Linked DNA regions of Ovis aries. The protein of the gene in region 1 interacts with the protein of each later gene in a pairwise test. Links are inferred from orthologs where the notes say so. Each region holds a gene or a part of one and is shown on either strand. Other genes may lie near its edges.

Region 1 (3,933 bases):
AGAATCCATGAGTCTGGACTTCCCTGGTGGCTCAAAATCTGCCTGTCAATGCAGGAGACACAGGTTAGATCTCTGATCTGGGAGGATCTCACATGCCATGGAGCAACTAAGCCTGTATGCCACAACTACTGAGCCTATGCCCCAGAGCCCAGGGAGCTGCAACTACTGAAGCGAGTGAACCCTATAACCTGTGCCCCACAACAAGCGATGCCCACACATCGCAACTAGAGAGTAGCCCCTGCTCTCTGCAAATAGAGAAAGCCTGTGCGTAACGAAGACCCAGCACAAACAAAAATAAATCAACAAAATTATCTGTCAAAAAAAGAATCCATGAGTCTATACTGGTATTTTTTCAACTGAGGCAGGGGAATATGGCTAAGTTTTTCTTTACAGTAGAATGCCAATTAATATCACCAATGGGAAAAAACTAGTATCACCATCTCCTGTAGTGTTACTTTGAGAACAATACAGCATCACCTCTGTAGATTTCTCATCCAAAATATTTCATGTTAACATGAACACAATCATGAGCAACCACTCAGACTAACCCATGTTGAATAACATTCTTCAAAACAAATAATATTCTTCAAAAATGTTAATGTCATGAAAAACCAACACAAGTTGAGAAAATATTCTAAGTTAAAGGAGACTAAATAAGCATGACACCCAAATACAATGGATGATCCTTAACAGGATTTTGGATTGAGGGGCAAGGTTCAGTTCACTTCAGTTCAGTTGCTCAGTGGTGTCCAACTCTTTGTGACCCCATGAACCACAGCACGCCAGGCCTCCCTGTCCATCACCAACAGTTTTCATCACCACTGAGTCAGTGATGCCATCTAACCATCTCATCCTCTGTTGACCCCTTCTCCTCCTGCCTTCAATCTTTCCCAACATCAGGGTCTTTTCAAATGAGTCAGCTCTTCACATCAAGTGGCCAATATAATGGAGTTTCAGCTTTAACATCAGTCCTTCCAATGAACACCCAGGACCGATTTCCCTTAGGATGGACTGGTTGGATCTCCTTGCAGTCCAAGGAACTCTCAAGAGTCTTCTCCAACACCACGGTTCAAAAGCATCAAGTCTTCTGCGCTCAGCCCTCTTTATAGTCCAACTTTCAGATCCATACATGACCACTGGAAAAACCACAGCCTTGACTAGACGGACCTTTGTTGACAAAGTAATGTCTCTGCTTTTTAACATGCTGTCTAGGTTGGTCATAACTTTCCTTCCAAGGAGTAAGCGTCTTTTAATTTCATGGCTGCCGTAAAGGCATTATTGGGCATCACTGGACATAAATAAGGTAGTCCAAAAATCTAACTGCCTATACCTAAAGATCAGTCCTGGGTGTTCACTGGAAGGACTGATGCTGAAGCTGAAACTCCAATACTTTGGCCACCTGATGCAAAGAGCTGACTCATTGGAAAAGACCCTGATGCTGGGAGGGATTGGGGGCAGGAGGAGAAGGGGACGACAGAGGATGAGACGGCTGGATGGCATCACCGACTCGCTGGACGTGAGTTTGGGTAAACTCCAGGAGTTGGTGATGGACAGGAAGGCCTGGCGTGCTGCGATTCATGGGGTCGCAAAGAGTTGGATACGACTGAGCAACTGAACTGAACTGAACTGAAGGCTGACAAAGAAGAGCCAGAGAAATAAGAAGTAAAACAGAAGAGTCTGTTCTCAGAAAACAAGGAGTAATTATGTTTCAATAAGTCAATAATCTACAATGTAAAACATTGGGAGGCGAAATAATACAAATAGGAAGTATTCCTTGCCAAGTTTATACAACCAGATAGTTCATGTTTTGTGCTGTTACTAAAGTATATTTTCTAAATGGTTACTACTTGTATTTAAGGAGGCTACTAATCTTTTCCTGTTGCAATCAGTTTCATTTTTTTCTCACAAGCAATACATGTTCATTACAAAAAGAATTATAAAATGAATATGAGTTAAAAGAAGCACATAAAACCCCACAATTCTTCCTACCCAGAGACAGCTGCTATCAACATCTTAGTGTTTAAACTATCATGTATATGTACACACTTACTTTGAAAAACTAACACAACATTGTTGATCAATGATACTCCAATGTAAAATTTAAAATTTTTAAATTATTTATCATACTTCATTGTAAAGCCTTCTTTTATTTATCTAAATATTGGGAACATCTTTCTATACAAAGACATTTTTGCAGTGTTATTTTTAAGGCTACATAGGAGTTCACTGCATGGAGGTACCAGTTTAACTAATCTCCCTCTGTTTTATAATCCGGATTGCTTCTAACTTTTTGCCATTACAAAGCTTCAATGAACATCATTACAGCTAAGTTTCTGAACATGCTTAATTAGATTATTTCCTCAAGATAAATCCCTAGAAGTAGAATTGCTAGTTCAAGAGACATTCATATAATTTCAGGCTTTGCTGAAATTATAGTGCCTACCAGAAAGATTTTATTTATTTACTTTCACCAATAGGATGAAAATGAACCCAGCAGCCTCACACACAAAGTACTATATATCTATTTTAAATTTTAAAGCTATTGTTGTATGTTAATGTTATACTGCCTTTTTCAAATAAAAATCCCAGTTTTCCAGGTGATTTTTTCACATCTGACAATTTTTACGTTAGAGAAATCCTTTCATAAATTGTTCAAACTAAGAAAGAAAACTGCAGCATAAAATAAGTTTATGTTTACTTTTAGTTACAATAAAGAAGTACTCCTACTACCATCATGGGCTTCTACTAATAAAAAATGAAAGGGTAGTTCTAATGTAAATGATAAGAGAATGCAAATATATACTACAGTAAATAGAAGTACAGTGAGGAATTGATTTATTCTGCCAAAAAGTAACAGAGGTACATAGATAGGAAACAGGAGAATCCTATTCTTATACTATTCCTAAAAATGTCTGTGACTATGTACTTACAACAAAGGTCTGCGTTCTTGCCCAAATTCTGCTTCATAGTAGCCATCTCTGCAGTCTTTTCCTACTAAATCATGAGGATGAGGTTTATATGGGTCATTCTTTGTTACTAATGTAATTCTCACTTTTCCTTTTCCATAATAGTTCAAAATCTGAAAAGGGGGGAAATTAAATATGTGATCCATAAATATGTCTCACCAACAACTGAATTATAAAATTTATATCAGCACCAGAATTTATACTAAATAGTTCAATTTACATCATATAGTTAGCACTGGATAAACTACAACTGACTGGTAACTGCAGTATGCATGAAACTTTCCAGAGGATACCAGTAGGGAAGAATTTACCTCTCAGTTCCTTCGTATATCACTTTGTGCCCTAATTTCAACTGTTTATATCATCTGATTTTTGCTTATTTTCCTTTGAAAACAAGTCAAAGTATACTAAAATAGTATCACAGTAGATGAGGAAATTCTAAGGTGCTGAGTCACTGAATGCCATGCTGCTATATTCATTGCCATACCATTGCCATGCCATACCATAACATCCCTTCCAAGTATATATTTAAGCCACAATGGAAATGATAGTACATAAATATGATCACTTAAGTAACTTAATACATGACATTTCATTTCACAAAAATATTTGTTAATCAGTAAGCATATCCCAAATGTTCACTGTATAATAGGCAATAAATCAAGCTGAGTTTTGCAAAATTAAGTTTTCACACAGAACACTGAGAATGAAGAGAAGAGTTAAACATGGGAGAGGAAGGAGGAGCTTGTGGGAAGGAGTTAGTATTTACTTTGGAAGCTAGCAAATTTGTAAGCACAAAGCAGGAAACATTTAAAAAACAGCATACAAGGGAGCAAGGCAGTTAAGTAAAAATGGGTGGCTTCACAGGTAAAAGGGCATTAAAATCCTGAACTCTGAATTTAAACTTAATTTGAACAGTAATCAGAAAGTATTTATTGCCTTTCTGAATAAAAGAGAAAGTAAAAAT
Region 2 (4,404 bases), on another chromosome or scaffold:
AATCATAATACAGAGTAAGAATTAGCAAATACCACAGATATCCCATTAATTATCAGTAGAAAGCTGAATTTATCCCAACCTAAGGGCTGTTGTTGCGCTTTTCTGCCTTAAGTGTTCCCTCTGATGTTTCTGTTGCTTTCTTACTTGAATTTTATTTCTTCTGAGGTTGCTCACTGCAAATACCGTTTCTTAGCCTAGAATAGTTTTCTCCTAATTTTGACAATCTGACAAGATTTGTCTAAATATTCCCTCTTCCCTGGGGCCCCACTCTGACTGCTAAGTACTCCCCATAACACTTAGTTTTAACCCCCAGCAATTACCATTATTTCCTTAGCTTTCAATTGCAAGTCCTTATTCTTATTTCTTATTCCTTACAGGAACTCACCTCTCTGGGAAGCTTGTCGAAAAGATGCTACAAAATGAAGACATTTGGCAAACTTGAGACCAGGTGAGGAGGCCGAGAAGAAACCAACACAGCTCCTCCTGGTACGGTGCACCAGAGCCCGGGAAGGGACCCCAAGTATCTTTTGGGAACCATCCTTTCCCCATGGCAGGTCTTTGGGCTCAACCAACCTCTTGATGAAAGTGAAAGAGGAGAGTGAAAAAGTTGGCTTAAAGCTCAACATTCAGAAAACAAAGATCATGGCATCCAGTCCCATCAGTTCATGGCAAATAGATGGAGAAACAGTGGAAACAGTGTCAGACTTTATTTTTGGGGGCTCCAAAATCACTGCATGGTTACTGCAACCATGATATTAAAAGACGCTTACTCCTTGGAAGAAAAGTTATGACTAACCTAGACAGCATATTAAAAAGCAGAGACATTACTTTGCCAACAAAGGTCCGTCTAGTCAAGGCTATGGTTTTTCCAGTAGTCATATATGGATGTGAGAGTTGGACTACAAAGAGAGCTGAGCGCAGAATTGATGCTTTTGAACTGTGATGTTGGAGAAGACTCTTGAGAGTCCCTTGGACCGCAAGGAGATCCAACCAGTCCATTCTAAAGGAGATCAGTCCTGGGTGTTCATTGAAAGGACTGATGTTGAAGCTGAAACTCCAATACTTTGGCCCCCTGATGGGAAGGGAAGAGCTGACTCATTGAAACGAGCCTGATGCTGGGAAAGATTGAAGGCGAGAGAAGGGGACGACAGAGGATGAGATGGTTGGATGGCATCACAGACTCAATGGACATGAGTTTGAGTAAACTCCGGGAGTTGGTGATGGACAGGGAGGCCTGGCGTGCTGCAGTCCATGGGGTTGCAAAGAGTCGGACACGACTGAGCGACTGAACTGAACTAAAATAAACCTAAGATTCCGGCGCAGGCTTGCCAGGGAAGCGGTCCTGGCCCCGCACTCCGCTGACTGCGGCACTGGCGCCCCCGCCTGGCGCTGGAGGCTGCGCGCGGCGGCCCACCACCGAGCCGGCGGCGGCTAGAGAGGCCGGCTGGCCCCGGGCGCCGTCGCGGCGCGCCCGCAGGGAACGCGCGCGGGGCGGGCCCCACGCCACTGATCTTGTAGCCATTTTAGGAGGAAACCCGGCTCGCTAGCCCGGGGCGAGGCTTCAATTTCGATAACTTTATTGGTGGCTTTATCCGCAGAACAGCCATCTCACCATTGATCCCGGGAGGAGGGAGAGCATCGCGGGAGGTGATTGGGGTGGGGGCGCCCCTGGACCGTGAGCGCGGGGGATGCGGGGGAGTTCCCGAAAGGGGGTTTCTTGAGCAGCGGGCCTCTAGAGGGTTTGGGGGTTCCGGGTGTTCTTGGAGGCCAGGGAGGAAGAGGTCCCCCAGGCACGGCTTCCCTGGGGCGGGGATTCCCTCGCCCGGTTCCCCAGACGCAGGGGCGGGGCCGGGGGCTCCCCTGACAAGACTGCCGGGGTGTCCCTTGCCCCATGCTGTTCCCCACGGCAGGTGGCCCCCGACTCGAGCTGCACAGCCATGGGAAACACCAGCGATCGAGTGGCCGGGGAGCGCCACGGCGCCAAGGCTGCGCGCGCCGAGGGCGCCGGCGGCCATGCTCCGGGTAAGGAACATAAGATCATGGTGGGGAGCACCGACGACCCCAGCGTCTTCAGCCTGCCGGACTCCAAGGTGAGTGTCCCCACGCCCCTAGTTGGTGGCGGTCCTGCAGCAGGCTGGGTGTCAGGGCTCTTCCTCCCTCTTTTGTTTTTTCCTTACCACACTGACCCGAATTAAGGCTTTTAGAATTAAAGGTTTTTTTCTGGGGACGGAGATACTGGGTGGTAATTCTTTTTGCGGTGCTGCCTCAAAATAGGCTAGAGGCGGAGTTCCTGTTACTGGACTCCTGTGTTTGCCACATTTTTAGGATGAGGCCAACACCCCCCCCCCTCCGCCCCCCTCCACCCTTGGTTCTCCTGGATGCCTCTTCTAGAGTATTGATGAATTTGTAGGTTGTGAAAAACTTCAGACTGTAGGTTACCTGAGTTGCTGACCACAGGCGGCAGTTTCTCACATTTGCCCTAAGGTAGGTAAGTGACTTTTCCCTGAACACTTCTACTTCTTTGTATTAGTCTCATTTTTGCCCTTCTAAGAGATCAGCACTTCAGATCCTCTTCCTCTTTGGCATGACTGTGAGCAGCAACCCCTTGCTTATATGAATACTTTTTCCTAGTCCTGGGGATCAATAAAGGACATTATTTGGTTGACTGCTTAGTTTTCATCTCATACTTTATAGTTATGGCTGAGGTGCTTTTTTTCATGTCCAGCTACTTCTTAAGTGGGAGAGCAAATAAGTTGAGGATTTCTTCACTTCCTGGTAGTACTTCATAATATTACCAAACTGAAAAAGGACCACCCACAGTTTCCCTGAAGACCTGGCTGTCAGTCTAGGACTTTCAGGAAAGTGGCAACTTGTGTTCACCCTACAGAAAAGATAGATGGAGCTGACAGCAATAAAATTACATCCAAATGTTTCTAATCACTTTTAGAGCTGTCTGCATTAAATACAGTAATTCCACCTGGTAGTCTGACTGGGATGAAGTAGAAAAATGGAGGGATTGAGGAGATTGGGGTGTGTTTGATGTTATCACTCATCCCTTGCCACACATCTGAGGTTTTATTTTATTTACTCTTGTAAATGTGTGTGTGTGTGTGTGTGTTAGTCATTCAGTCGTCTCCGACTCTTTGCAACCCCATATCCATGGGATTCTCCAGACAAGAATACTGAAGTGGGTTGCCATTCCCTTTCCAGGGGATTTTCCCGATCCAGGGATTGAACCTGGGTCTTCTGAATTGCAGGCAGATGCCTTACCGTCTGAACGACCAGGGTAAATAGAGAGTAATTTTGCTGGGTTGGTAACACATGAAATGTGGATTCTGTTTATTTTCTTGGATCCCAATTGAAAACATAATCACAAAGAGAAGTGAAGGTGATTTCTTGGGGTTTCTTCTCTGTTCCTTTCTTGCTTCTTCCACTTCAGGACTTCTTCCTCAACTCTTGGGCTATCTCCCCAGCCATCTGAATTTACTTCTTCAAAGCTTTCTCAAGGTGATTGTATTTTTATCCATTTCCTACACTGATGACTCAGGATTTAAGTACTGTGTACTTGTCAAACTGTGGCTGCAGTAATCGGTGTCCTGAATAAAAGTCAGGTTGCTCTATCTGAAATGGAGCCTATTTTGGATCATTCTTTCCCTTACCTCAGTCTTGCCATTTGTGAACTAAGATTGGTTCAAATAATTCCCAAGGTCATTTCCAAATCTGAGAGTTTACAGTTGCTCAGTCTATTCTATTTCTTTCCTCAGTGTTTCACTTAAACAGTTTTCAATTGTAATTCTAGTTGTTTTGCCTCTTTTCCTGATGATTTTGCTGACTATTTAACTTGGAGTAAACAATCTCTCTCCTTGTCAGCTGCACTGATGCCTACCACAGAAATGTCATATCATACGTGGAAGGGCTTTCTTCCAAAGCTAGGCATATTAATAGTTTGTAGCTTTCAAATTCTAAAATAATAAAGCATACAAGTAAATGATAGAAACAGTGGCAGAAGGGCCTATATTGCTTCAAATGCCACCCTTCAGTGGACTAGTTCAGTGGTTTTCAATCCTATTTGCACATTAGACTTACTGGGATTTATTTAAACACTTCATGGAAAATCTGAAACATTTTCCATGTTTCAAAGTCAGGAGAGCAGTGTAATGAATCCTATATAACTGTCATCCAGTTTAAACAATGATCAAATCATGAATGAATTCATATCATCTATACCCCAATCCACTCTACCCCCACCAATTATTTTTAAGCAAATCCCAGACCATCATATCAAATATTACTTTACCTATAAGCATTTTAGGATGTATCTCTAATGATGAGATTTCTTTCTTTATTTTCAACATTAAATTTTAGGATTATTGTCTGGGAAGCTTCTTAAAAATAGAGTCCCAG
Region 3 (4,545 bases), on another chromosome or scaffold:
CCACTCTTTGAGGTATTTTTAATTTGTTTTGTTTTTCACTGCACTGGGTCTTCATTGCAGTGTCTGGGCCTCTCTTAGCTGCAGTGCACAGGTATGTAGGCTCTCAAGTTCCCTGACCAGGGAGCAAACTTGCGTCTCCTGCATTAGAAGGCAGATTCTTAACCACTGAACTGGCAGGGAAGTCCTTCATTGAGTTTCTTGCTTTTTTTTTTTTCCTCATTGAGTTTTTGGTAACTACTTATTTAATCACCTATCTTTTTCTCTTCTATTCTGCATGCTCCTTGAGGGCAGGAAACATGTCCAAAGTTCACCACACTATCCCCAACACAATATCTGGATTAGGTATTCCATTGTTTAATTCAGTGTATCCTGTACATTCTCTAAGTGTTGACCGTCTAGAAGTCTGATCAAGAAGGCAGACCCGAAGCAGAATCAGCCTTCACATTTTCAAGGCAATAAAGCTTATATAGCTTTTATTTCAACTTGTTTCACTACATGATGTTTTTTCAGTTACAAGAAAAAGTCATTTTAAAGGTTAATATTTTTCATTCCCTCTTCCCTGCTCTCAATGCAAAAATATATTTAATTATAGGGAATGCTTTAGATGTGACTATGGTATTCTCAGGAAGATTTGCAAATGTCAAAAAATCTAGAAGTAAAGTAGCAAAGGGATGATACCTTCATAAATTTAGTTCTGCCAGAGAATCACAATAGAAACAGGATTACTTAATAGATATTTACTGGAGAATTGGGAGGGGGTAGGAAGAAACATACAAAATAATAATCATCCCTGATTCCTTCCAGTCTTTTTTCTAGACATAGTTTTAGTATGTTTTTATGTTGATACATACTATTTCCTGCCTTTTAAATTTTTAAAGAAACTTATTTTGCTGAAAGTGAAGTCGCTCAGTCGTGTCTGACTCTTTGCAACTCCATGGACTGTAGCCCATCAGGCTTCTCCATCCATGGGGTTTTCCACACAAGAATACTAGAGTGGGCTGCCATTTCCTTCTCCAGGGGAATCTTCCCCACCCAGGGATCGAACCCAGGTCTCCCACATTGCAGGCAGATGCTTTACCCTCTGAGCCACCAGAGTGGATTTACAATGTTAATTTCTGCTATATAGCAAAATGACTCAGTTATAAACATATATACATTCTTTTTTGTATTCTTTTCCATTATGGTTTATCACAGGATATTGACTATAGTTCCTTGTGCTATACAGTAGGACCTTATTACCCATGCTATACATGACAGTTTGCACCTGCTAATCTCAAACTCCCAATCATCTCTCCCCCAAACCCCCTCCCTCGTTGCAACCACAAATTCGTTCTCTATGTCTATGAGTCTGTTTCTGTTTGTAGATAAGTTCATTTGTGTCATACTTTAGATTCCACATACACTGTATTATATGGTATGTCTTTCTCTTTCTTACTTCACTTAGTATGATAATCTCTAGGTCCATCCATGTTGCTTCAAATGGTATTATTTCATTCTTTTCTATGTCCTGTCTTTTAAATTTAACAACCCATGTAATTTTGTCTTTAAATGCAAATTTAATGTCATTCTAAAATGCAAACTTATGACTTCAAATGTTTTGTTCTATGGATATACCATAATCTATATTATTCAGCTCTTACTGTTGGACTGAGAATTTTTACTCTTAGGAAATGGATCATATATAAAGAACAGCTTTGTCAAATTATTGTGTTCTGTCTCTGATTTGATTCAGTGATCCCATCTCATCCCTTCTTTCTTCTTTTCCTTCTCCTCCTCCTTCTTCTCCATCTCTTTCCTTTCCTTCCTTTTTTTTTTTAAAACAAATACTTCTCCCAGTTCGCCTCACTAAAATTTGTTAGTAGTGAGCACAATATAAATTCCACACTCACATGACTGTATTAATAAATAATGCATGAAAGTTATGCTCAATAATGAAGTTTTATGACTATACTCTTTTCTTTCTTTTTAAAATTAAACTTTTATTTTTACTAAAGTATTGTTTGTATTGTTAATGTAACATAATTTCATGAGGCTCATAACAAAGAACTGCTGTCCTCACCCCGTCCCCTTTCCACAGGTAATCAGTTTCAATTCTTTTAAATGTTTCTTCCAAAATCTATCTCTATATTTCTTAACAGCATGCTTATATTGCTATATTGAATTTTAGGTAGTATCCAGATGGCACTAGCGGTAAAGAACCTGCCTGCCAATGCGAAGGCACAAGAGACACGGGTTCGATCCCTGGGTCGGGAAGATCCCCTGGAGAAGGAAATGGCAACCCACTCCAGTATTCTTGCCTGGAGAATCCCATGGACAGAGGAAACTGACGGGCTACAGTCCATGGGACCGCAGAGTCCGACACGACTGAAGCGAATGAGCTCTGATATCTCTCGCCTTTAAGACATTCATCCTAGGGCCCTCCGTTCTGCTCTAATCTGCACCTGATACTCTCCAGGTCTGCTTACATATTCAATTCATGAAGACAGACGACACATTTACCAAGTTTTTCTTCTAGACATTAATACTTTCCTCCCCAGGGATCAATGACTGGCATATCTTGCCAAGCATCGCCCACAGCATCTAAGAATGTACGGATTTTGCCATCAGGTAGACGATCCTCTCCCTAACCATGCCCCTCACTAGTGCAAGGCTGATTTTCTTATAAGTACAGAAAATGCATCTTCTGCAGGTCAACGTCTAAAACCTGTCCACCAACCGTAGTGCACCTAGGAGCACTTAACTTCACTTTAAGGCCAGGCAAAGCCTGGCGCTGCAGAAAAAGACGACAGCCACAGCTTCGCAGACGTGACTGTAGGGTGAATTCTCAGGCAGGAGGATCGCATCGGCAAATACCTGGAAGTTGAGGAGAATGCCGGGAGCTCGGCTAGGCGGTTCCCAGGACAGCGTGCGGGGTTCAGGGTCAGACTCGGGGTCCACGGAGCTCTCCCCAGACCAACAGCCCCAGTGCACGTCACTGCGCTTGCGCCACTCCTCGCTCCGCCCCCGACCGTGAGGGCAAGGGGCGGGGCGACGAAGGTGCTGGACGAAGGCCTGCCGCTATCCCGGAACATTTAGGGGCGGGGAGCCGGGAAACTGCAGGATCGCAGGCGTGCGCGAAGCGAATCTTACTTCCGGGTCCCAAACTCCGTGACAGTGCGGAGCGGTGTGAACCTTGTGCACGTTCCTCCGATCGCATTTTATCCCCGCGTGCTCTTCTGGGGCGCGCGTTCTTCTTCGTCCTGGCTGCCCCAGCGGTGGCCGTCAGGGCAGTGGCCTGGCTGCTTCTCTGGGAGGCTGCTGGGTTCACCTGCTCGCCAGCCACAACATTCAACAACACCCACTTCGTCGCCGGTAAGGGGCGGAGCTGGGCCTCGGGAGTGGGGCCGGGTTAAGGTCTGAGAGGGTGGGGAGCACTCGAGATTCCCGAGACCTCTCACTTCCTCCCTTTACAAACGTGCTTCTCGCGACCCTAGAACCGTAGGGTGAGTGAAAGTGAAGTGAAGTCGCTCAGTGGTGTCCGACTCTTTGCGACCCCATGGACTATATCCCACCAGGCTCCTCCGTCCATGGGATTTCCAGGCAAGCATACTGGAGTGGGTTGTCATTTCCTTCTCCAGGGGACCCGCATTGTAGTCAGACGCTTTACCGTCTGAGCCACAGGGAAGTAGGGTGAGTAGCAGGAGATAAACAACAAAGGCTGCAAGTTCCTGCACGTCCCACCGCCCCCGCCTCCATTCTTTGTGACCAGTCCTGGTTCTCTGGAGAGGAAGGCTTGGTCTTTCTGAGGAGGGACTGGCAGCACTATTACTAACACGTTGTGAAGTACAGCCGTGAAGCATTTTGGGGTGCTCTTGGGATGCATGAGGCTTCTGACTACTGCGGGGCCAACAAAGCCTAAGTGCCCTGTGAGGTGTGAGAACCCCAATCTAGAATACCTTCCCTTGGGGAGCGTGGAAAGGGGAGGACGACTAATTTCGTTTTACAAACATGTTTGATAATAAACTGGATTGGGCTAGGGTTTCTTTAAGACTCCGGGCTGGGCGAGCGAGTCGATTCACTTCTTTGTGCTCAAGTTCGGGGGCAGAAGTGCTGTACTGGTGCTGTGAATCCAGCCCTCGTGGAGCTTGCAATGTAGTAGGGGAGATGGGTAAGTGCAGTAGTAGTTACAATAAAGTGATAACGTTTGATAGGGAAAGAAAAGTCAGTACACACACACACCAGGAAAACCAGTACGGAAGCTGTCTTTAAAACCAGGATACTAGATTAGTATCTGTCAATCAGTGCAGTTCTGCTTTTGTGTGTTTATATATTAGGTTCTGAAATTTATTTGAAGAAGGAATTATTAGGCGAAAAATAATTTTCAAACGACTGGGCTTATTGATAACTAAAGACTTTACAGCAATTTGTAAAGGGGGTCAATTTCCAGAGCCAATTCGGGCTACAAAAACGAAGTAAGTAAAATTTAAGAGTAAAAATCTTGAAGGTGAGTTCAGATGCAACAAATTCATTTTGAAAATGGTACCGTTGCCTTAAAAATCATAAATA
Region 4 (4,696 bases), on another chromosome or scaffold:
ATTTTTTCCTCAGAGAATCTGGAAAGTCTATGGTTTACTACTGACTTTTCTGCAAACAGCTGGCTCTCAGAAATCTGAATTTGAGGGGTACCCTTTGATCCCAGATGATACCTTTTTGTCAAAAGCCACATGCGCAGGAATAAACGCTGCAGGCGGGGCCTGCCTGGGCTGTCCATACGTGAGGATTGGGATGCTGTTGGCCAGCTCGTCCAGATCAGCCTGGGACAGCTGGTTGACCTGGAGCCTGTTCCCGCCAATCCCAACTGTTGGACGTCGAACAACTGCATAGCCATTCCTATAGCCCAGCGTCTGGCTTCTATGAAATGCTGTTTTCTGAAGGAAAAAAGAAGTGTGTCAAGATATAACAAATATTTGTTAGGTAGAAGAGCTAACTTCCAAAGGTTTCAGATTCAACCTTTACTTATAAACACCCACAAACCCTGTATCAAAAATTTTACCTACATGAGAAGGTTCTTGTATTTTAAGCTAAAACACGTGGCCAGGAACAAGGAGGGAGGCAGCAGCCTGAGCTTAAAATAAAATTTAAAGCCCTGTTACTGAGCATCCAATTTTAATTATCAGCTCACCTACCACAAAAAACCTAAAATATCTTTATGTTGACTCCTAATTTTGTACTATCTTATCTGGTGGTCATAAGTCACGGAACCAAAACAATCCAAATCTGTGAAATGAATTCTTATCTGAAATGAAAGGCCCTCTTGCTACAGTGACACTAATATATTCATTGTAACTCTTTGGAAAGCAAATGGATTTTATGGATTTAAAGTCAAACTAAGTAATTCCACCCTCCATCCTTTAAGGATATAATCCAAAATCATGGGAAAGAACAACATGCCTAAGGCTGACAATTACAATGTTAATCACAATAAACCAAAACACGAGAAGCAATATAAAAGACAAGCAGGAGCAAATGATGGAAAGCTCACTTAATGGGCTATTATGCAGCTATTAAAATACTTGTTTTGAAGACCATGTAGCAATCTGGGGAAAATGTTTATGATTTAATAAACCCAGAAAAGCAGCTTACAAAATTATACACATACTACAATTACAAGCATGCAAACACGTGCACAAAAAGACTGCTTTGGAGAATGTTCTCTGTTTTATACATTTCTAAATTATGTTGTTGTTCTTTTCTACAATCAACACATTTTTTTGATAACTGGAAAAAAACAAAAGATTATATTAAGAAAAAGTGAAAAGGAAATATTTTTGAAGGAAAGAGATCAAAACAGTGGCACAGGGACTCAGCCTCCCCACCACTCCACAAAGATCAACAGTCAGACAGCTATCCACAAATAAGAGCTCTGGAAGAGGTCCATGTAGTAGGTTTCAGCAACACAGTGGGATAAAAAAACCAAGGATATTCGTACAGGAAGAGAAGGAAGACTACCTCATTTTGTCTGCATCATCCCATTCTCCAAACCAGCACTGTTCAGTGCCAGGAGACAACTTCCCCTCAACAGGAAAGGAAGAGCCAAGTGAGCAGTCAGTTTCCAGTCTTTTTACCTTAACTTCATGACCAAGGAGAGGAACTTATTGTTTAAATTGTTAAACTACATAAATGATTATTGTCTCATCTTTGAAAATCAGCCTATTGAATCTTTTTTTTTCTTCTTTTTTTTTTCAGCCTATTGAATCTTAATGCTGACCTTCCAACACATATTTCAGCAACCCTGAAATTTCAGTATTAAAATCATTTTGTCAAGGGCTAAACTGTGTCAGAGAAAAAAAAACCACAAGCCTTTTTTTTTTTCCTCTTCAGTTTTGTCTAGAAGATATAACTAACAACACTTAAGGCAGGAGAGGAGTGAAACAAAATCCAAACAGGAATCTTTTATAAAAATGTTACAAGCGAAAAGAAAAGGGCTAGAGAAGAAAAACCAAGAACACATCAATTGTGGCAGAGGAACTAAAGTGCAATTATCTCCCATAAAGCACCTGAGGATGATTTGGGAGGAAGATGGCCAAGTGTTGAAAATTTAACTTTCCAAGCAAGAGGATTTGGGGAAAAAGATTAAACAAGACTGCAGAAAAAGTCGACGTGCTGGGACAGAAAAGGAGATGGGGCTTGGTAGAAGCATAAATGAGACCGAGGAAAAGGACCTGACAGAAAGAAGCCAACAGATGGAAATGGAGTTGGGACTGGGAGCGATTACTGGGTCTAGGATTCAGAAGAGGAAAATGCGGGCGGCAATGATGGGCTTGGGGAGAGTGAGCGGGATGGGGCTGTGGAAATAAGTACGAAGGCGTATAGAGGTTGCGTTGGGGAAGGGGCCCAGGTTGAGGGAAGAAAAGTTTAAGGATGGAACTGGGCAGAGAGGGGTATGCAGAAGGGAGAATGAGCTAGGGAGAAGGCCGAGGGAGCTCGGGAACCAGGTGGGGAAAGCCAGCAAGAGCAGAGCAGCAAGGAAGAACGCTGGGAGGCCAACAGACTGCCAGGATGGAGTGGAAAAACCAGAGAGGGATGGGCTGAGAGCAAACTGGAGAAAGAGGGTGAGGTTGGGGGGTGGGGAGTGGGGTGGAGGTGGGGTGTGGAGAACAGAGTTGGGGGCAGAGAGAGGGTTTGAAGGGGAAAAGGACAAACTCGCGTGGACGAGCAGAGACGCAACCTGCTGCGAGCTCTCCGGGGCTGCCAGGAGGTGGGGACAGGGGTTTGGCCGGAGAAGTCCTCACCGTTAAGTCCTTAAAGGACGTGCCTGGGAGAAAAGGCAGGCCATGCACTGGGTTAGACACCATAGCGGCCGCTCTCGCCGCAACCACCCGGGTAGGGTTTGGTCCTCTCGGGTTGCCAGGGGAACCAGCGGCGTTCTGGGCGGCCCGGCAGCTCCATGGTAACGCCATACACGCAGAGCACTAGCGGAAGAGGGCGGGGCCTGAGACGCAGGCGTGCCCAGCCCGCGCATGAGCAGCCCGTGGACTAGACGTTCTCGCGGGAGTGTGCCGAGGGGAGCTGGCCCCGCCCCGCGCAGACGTGAGAACACGGGGCGGGACGAGGTGGTTGTGGGATGACGTGATGGATCTCCCCTTGAGGGTCCGGGTTCGGGCGAGTCCTTAGATCAGTTCCAAGGGAAGGGTCCTTCCTTCGCCCCATCCCAGTCCTCACCTCACCTCACCTCGCCCCGCCCGCTCGCTGTTCTCCCACCTGTGGGAAAAAGGCTGTTGTCCCAGTTCACACGGAAGTGTCACTGGTTGGTTCCGGTTGAAAGTGTTACTTCTCCTGAACCCGTGCTTCCCTGGGGCCAGGGACTGAGAATTATTCATGATTGTAATTCTGTTGTTCAAGGATGTTCAATAAACAAAAGCAACTGACTGGTGCCTAATCCTCCAACTACCTCATTCAAGTTTTTTCCTACTTTACCTTTGAAGGAAATGGCAACCCACTCCAGTACTCTTGCCTGGAGAATCTCATGGACAGAGGAGCCTGGCGGGCTACATACAGTCCACGGGGTCGCCAAGAGTCGGACACGACTGAGCGACTAAGCGCAGCACATTCTATTTCTATACCCTCCTTCACAGGCCTTGGGGGGGTCTTACATATTCACCGCAGGATGCTCAGTATTTGTTGACTGGACAGCTACACGGCGCTCCTGTCAATTCTCCGAGTCTCTAGTATCACTACCTACAGTTGCAATAAAAAGATCAGACCCACGAGGGGAAATACATCTGCCAAGAAAAATTTGTCATAGGAGAAAAGCAAATAAGTGCGGTGATAAATTGTCAAAACCGTAGGTACTCTTTTTACAAAACTTGTTTAAATTATTATCCCTTAAAAAATGTAATCCTGTTCTTGAAACATCTTCAAGAAAGAAAAAACAAGCTATCAGAAGCGCTGAAGAGCTTAAAAAGAAAAACAAAACCCAGATGCCTGGACATTGGATTCACTGGGTTTGAAATGGGGCCCAGGCGTCTGATTTTTATAACAGCTGTTTCTGAGAATGAGCCAGTTTAACGGAGTGCAATAGAGTAGCAAGCTTCACGCCAAAGGCATCCATGTCATGGGTGGTTTACTGCCAATACAGACAAAGGCTTTAGTTTTACTGCTGCTTGTCAGAGTAAATCCCCCTGATGGGTTTCACTAACAGGCATAAACCTCAGGGGGCCCAGGACATCAGTCCACTAGTGGCAGTGAAGCAGTTATTGGTGGCTGTCTCCACACCTTGCCCAGAGTTTCTTTTCTGATAACACTTGCTATCCCCTAACTACTTCTATTTCCCATGTTTGTCCCCCACTCCTTTTTTCACCTTTCCAGATTTTTATTTTTTATTGGTGTAGTGCCCTAATGTAGGTGTTTAATACACTTTTTGAATCAATGCATTGTAATGACACTAAAGACTTTACAAGTATCTGACCATTACATTTTATCTTAGCCACTGACCTAGAAGGGCAGTGTGGACAAAGGATGTCACCTGCCATATCAGGAAATGGAAAGATGTTGCAGCCATTAAGCCATCAGTCACAGAAGTCATCCACAGCTGTGCATGCTGAGGGGATTTAGGATGGAGAAAAGCAGGATACTGGTCCTGGATGGTAAGGTGCCTATCAAAGGAATGAGTTCAGTGAGCCCAGACTCTTGCATCTTCTCATACAAAGAAAAGCACTCATTCATTAACTTGAGATGTCTGGTTTTAATTAACAGTATTTTTTTTTAAAATGTTCTGACCCCCTGTTTTTT

Evidence for each region. The genes of interacting proteins can lie anywhere in the genome.
Region 2: the proteins of REL (region 1) and PRKAB2 interact in binary tests that used the Homo sapiens proteins (3 or more experiments, as listed by UniProt). The link is inferred for Ovis aries from reciprocal best matches to the Homo sapiens genes REL and PRKAB2.
Region 3: the proteins of REL (region 1) and CEP19 interact in binary tests that used the Homo sapiens proteins (3 or more experiments, as listed by UniProt). The two-hybrid records come from large-scale screens. The link is inferred for Ovis aries from reciprocal best matches to the Homo sapiens genes REL and CEP19.
Region 4: the proteins of REL (region 1) and EFHC1 interact in binary tests that used the Homo sapiens proteins (3 or more experiments, as listed by UniProt). The two-hybrid records come from large-scale screens. The link is inferred for Ovis aries from reciprocal best matches to the Homo sapiens genes REL and EFHC1.

What each region holds. Positions count from the first base shown.
Region 1 is NC_056056.1:63,114,773-63,118,705, forward strand, and holds part of REL (proto-oncogene c-Rel), read right to left. Parts: intron 3,080-3,933; coding exon 2,931-3,079; intron 1-2,930. UniProt on the Homo sapiens protein: Proto-oncogene that may play a role in differentiation and lymphopoiesis.
Region 2 is NC_056054.1:98,151,088-98,155,491, reverse strand, and holds the start of PRKAB2 (5'-AMP-activated protein kinase subunit beta-2), read left to right. Parts: upstream 1-1,505; 5' UTR 1,506-1,647; intron 1,648-1,850; exon of another isoform or gene 1,851-1,910; 5' UTR 1,911-1,937; coding exon 1,938-2,090; exon of another isoform or gene 2,091-3,627; intron 3,628-4,404. UniProt on the Homo sapiens protein: Non-catalytic subunit of AMP-activated protein kinase (AMPK), an energy sensor protein kinase that plays a key role in regulating cellular energy metabolism.
Region 3 is NC_056054.1:192,038,430-192,042,974, forward strand, and holds the start of CEP19 (centrosomal protein of 19 kDa), read right to left. Parts: upstream 2,900-4,545; 5' UTR 2,854-2,899; intron 1-2,853. Other genes in the region: PIGX (phosphatidylinositol-glycan biosynthesis class X protein), read left to right, coding at 2,900-3,351. UniProt on the Homo sapiens protein: Required for ciliation. Recruits the RABL2B GTPase to the ciliary base to initiate ciliation.
Region 4 is NC_056073.1:24,505,376-24,510,071, reverse strand, and holds the start of EFHC1 (EF-hand domain-containing protein 1), read right to left. Parts: upstream 2,900-4,696; 5' UTR 2,866-2,899; coding exon 2,698-2,865; intron 334-2,697; coding exon 112-333; intron 1-111. UniProt on the Homo sapiens protein: Microtubule inner protein (MIP) part of the dynein-decorated doublet microtubules (DMTs) in cilia axoneme, which is required for motile cilia beating.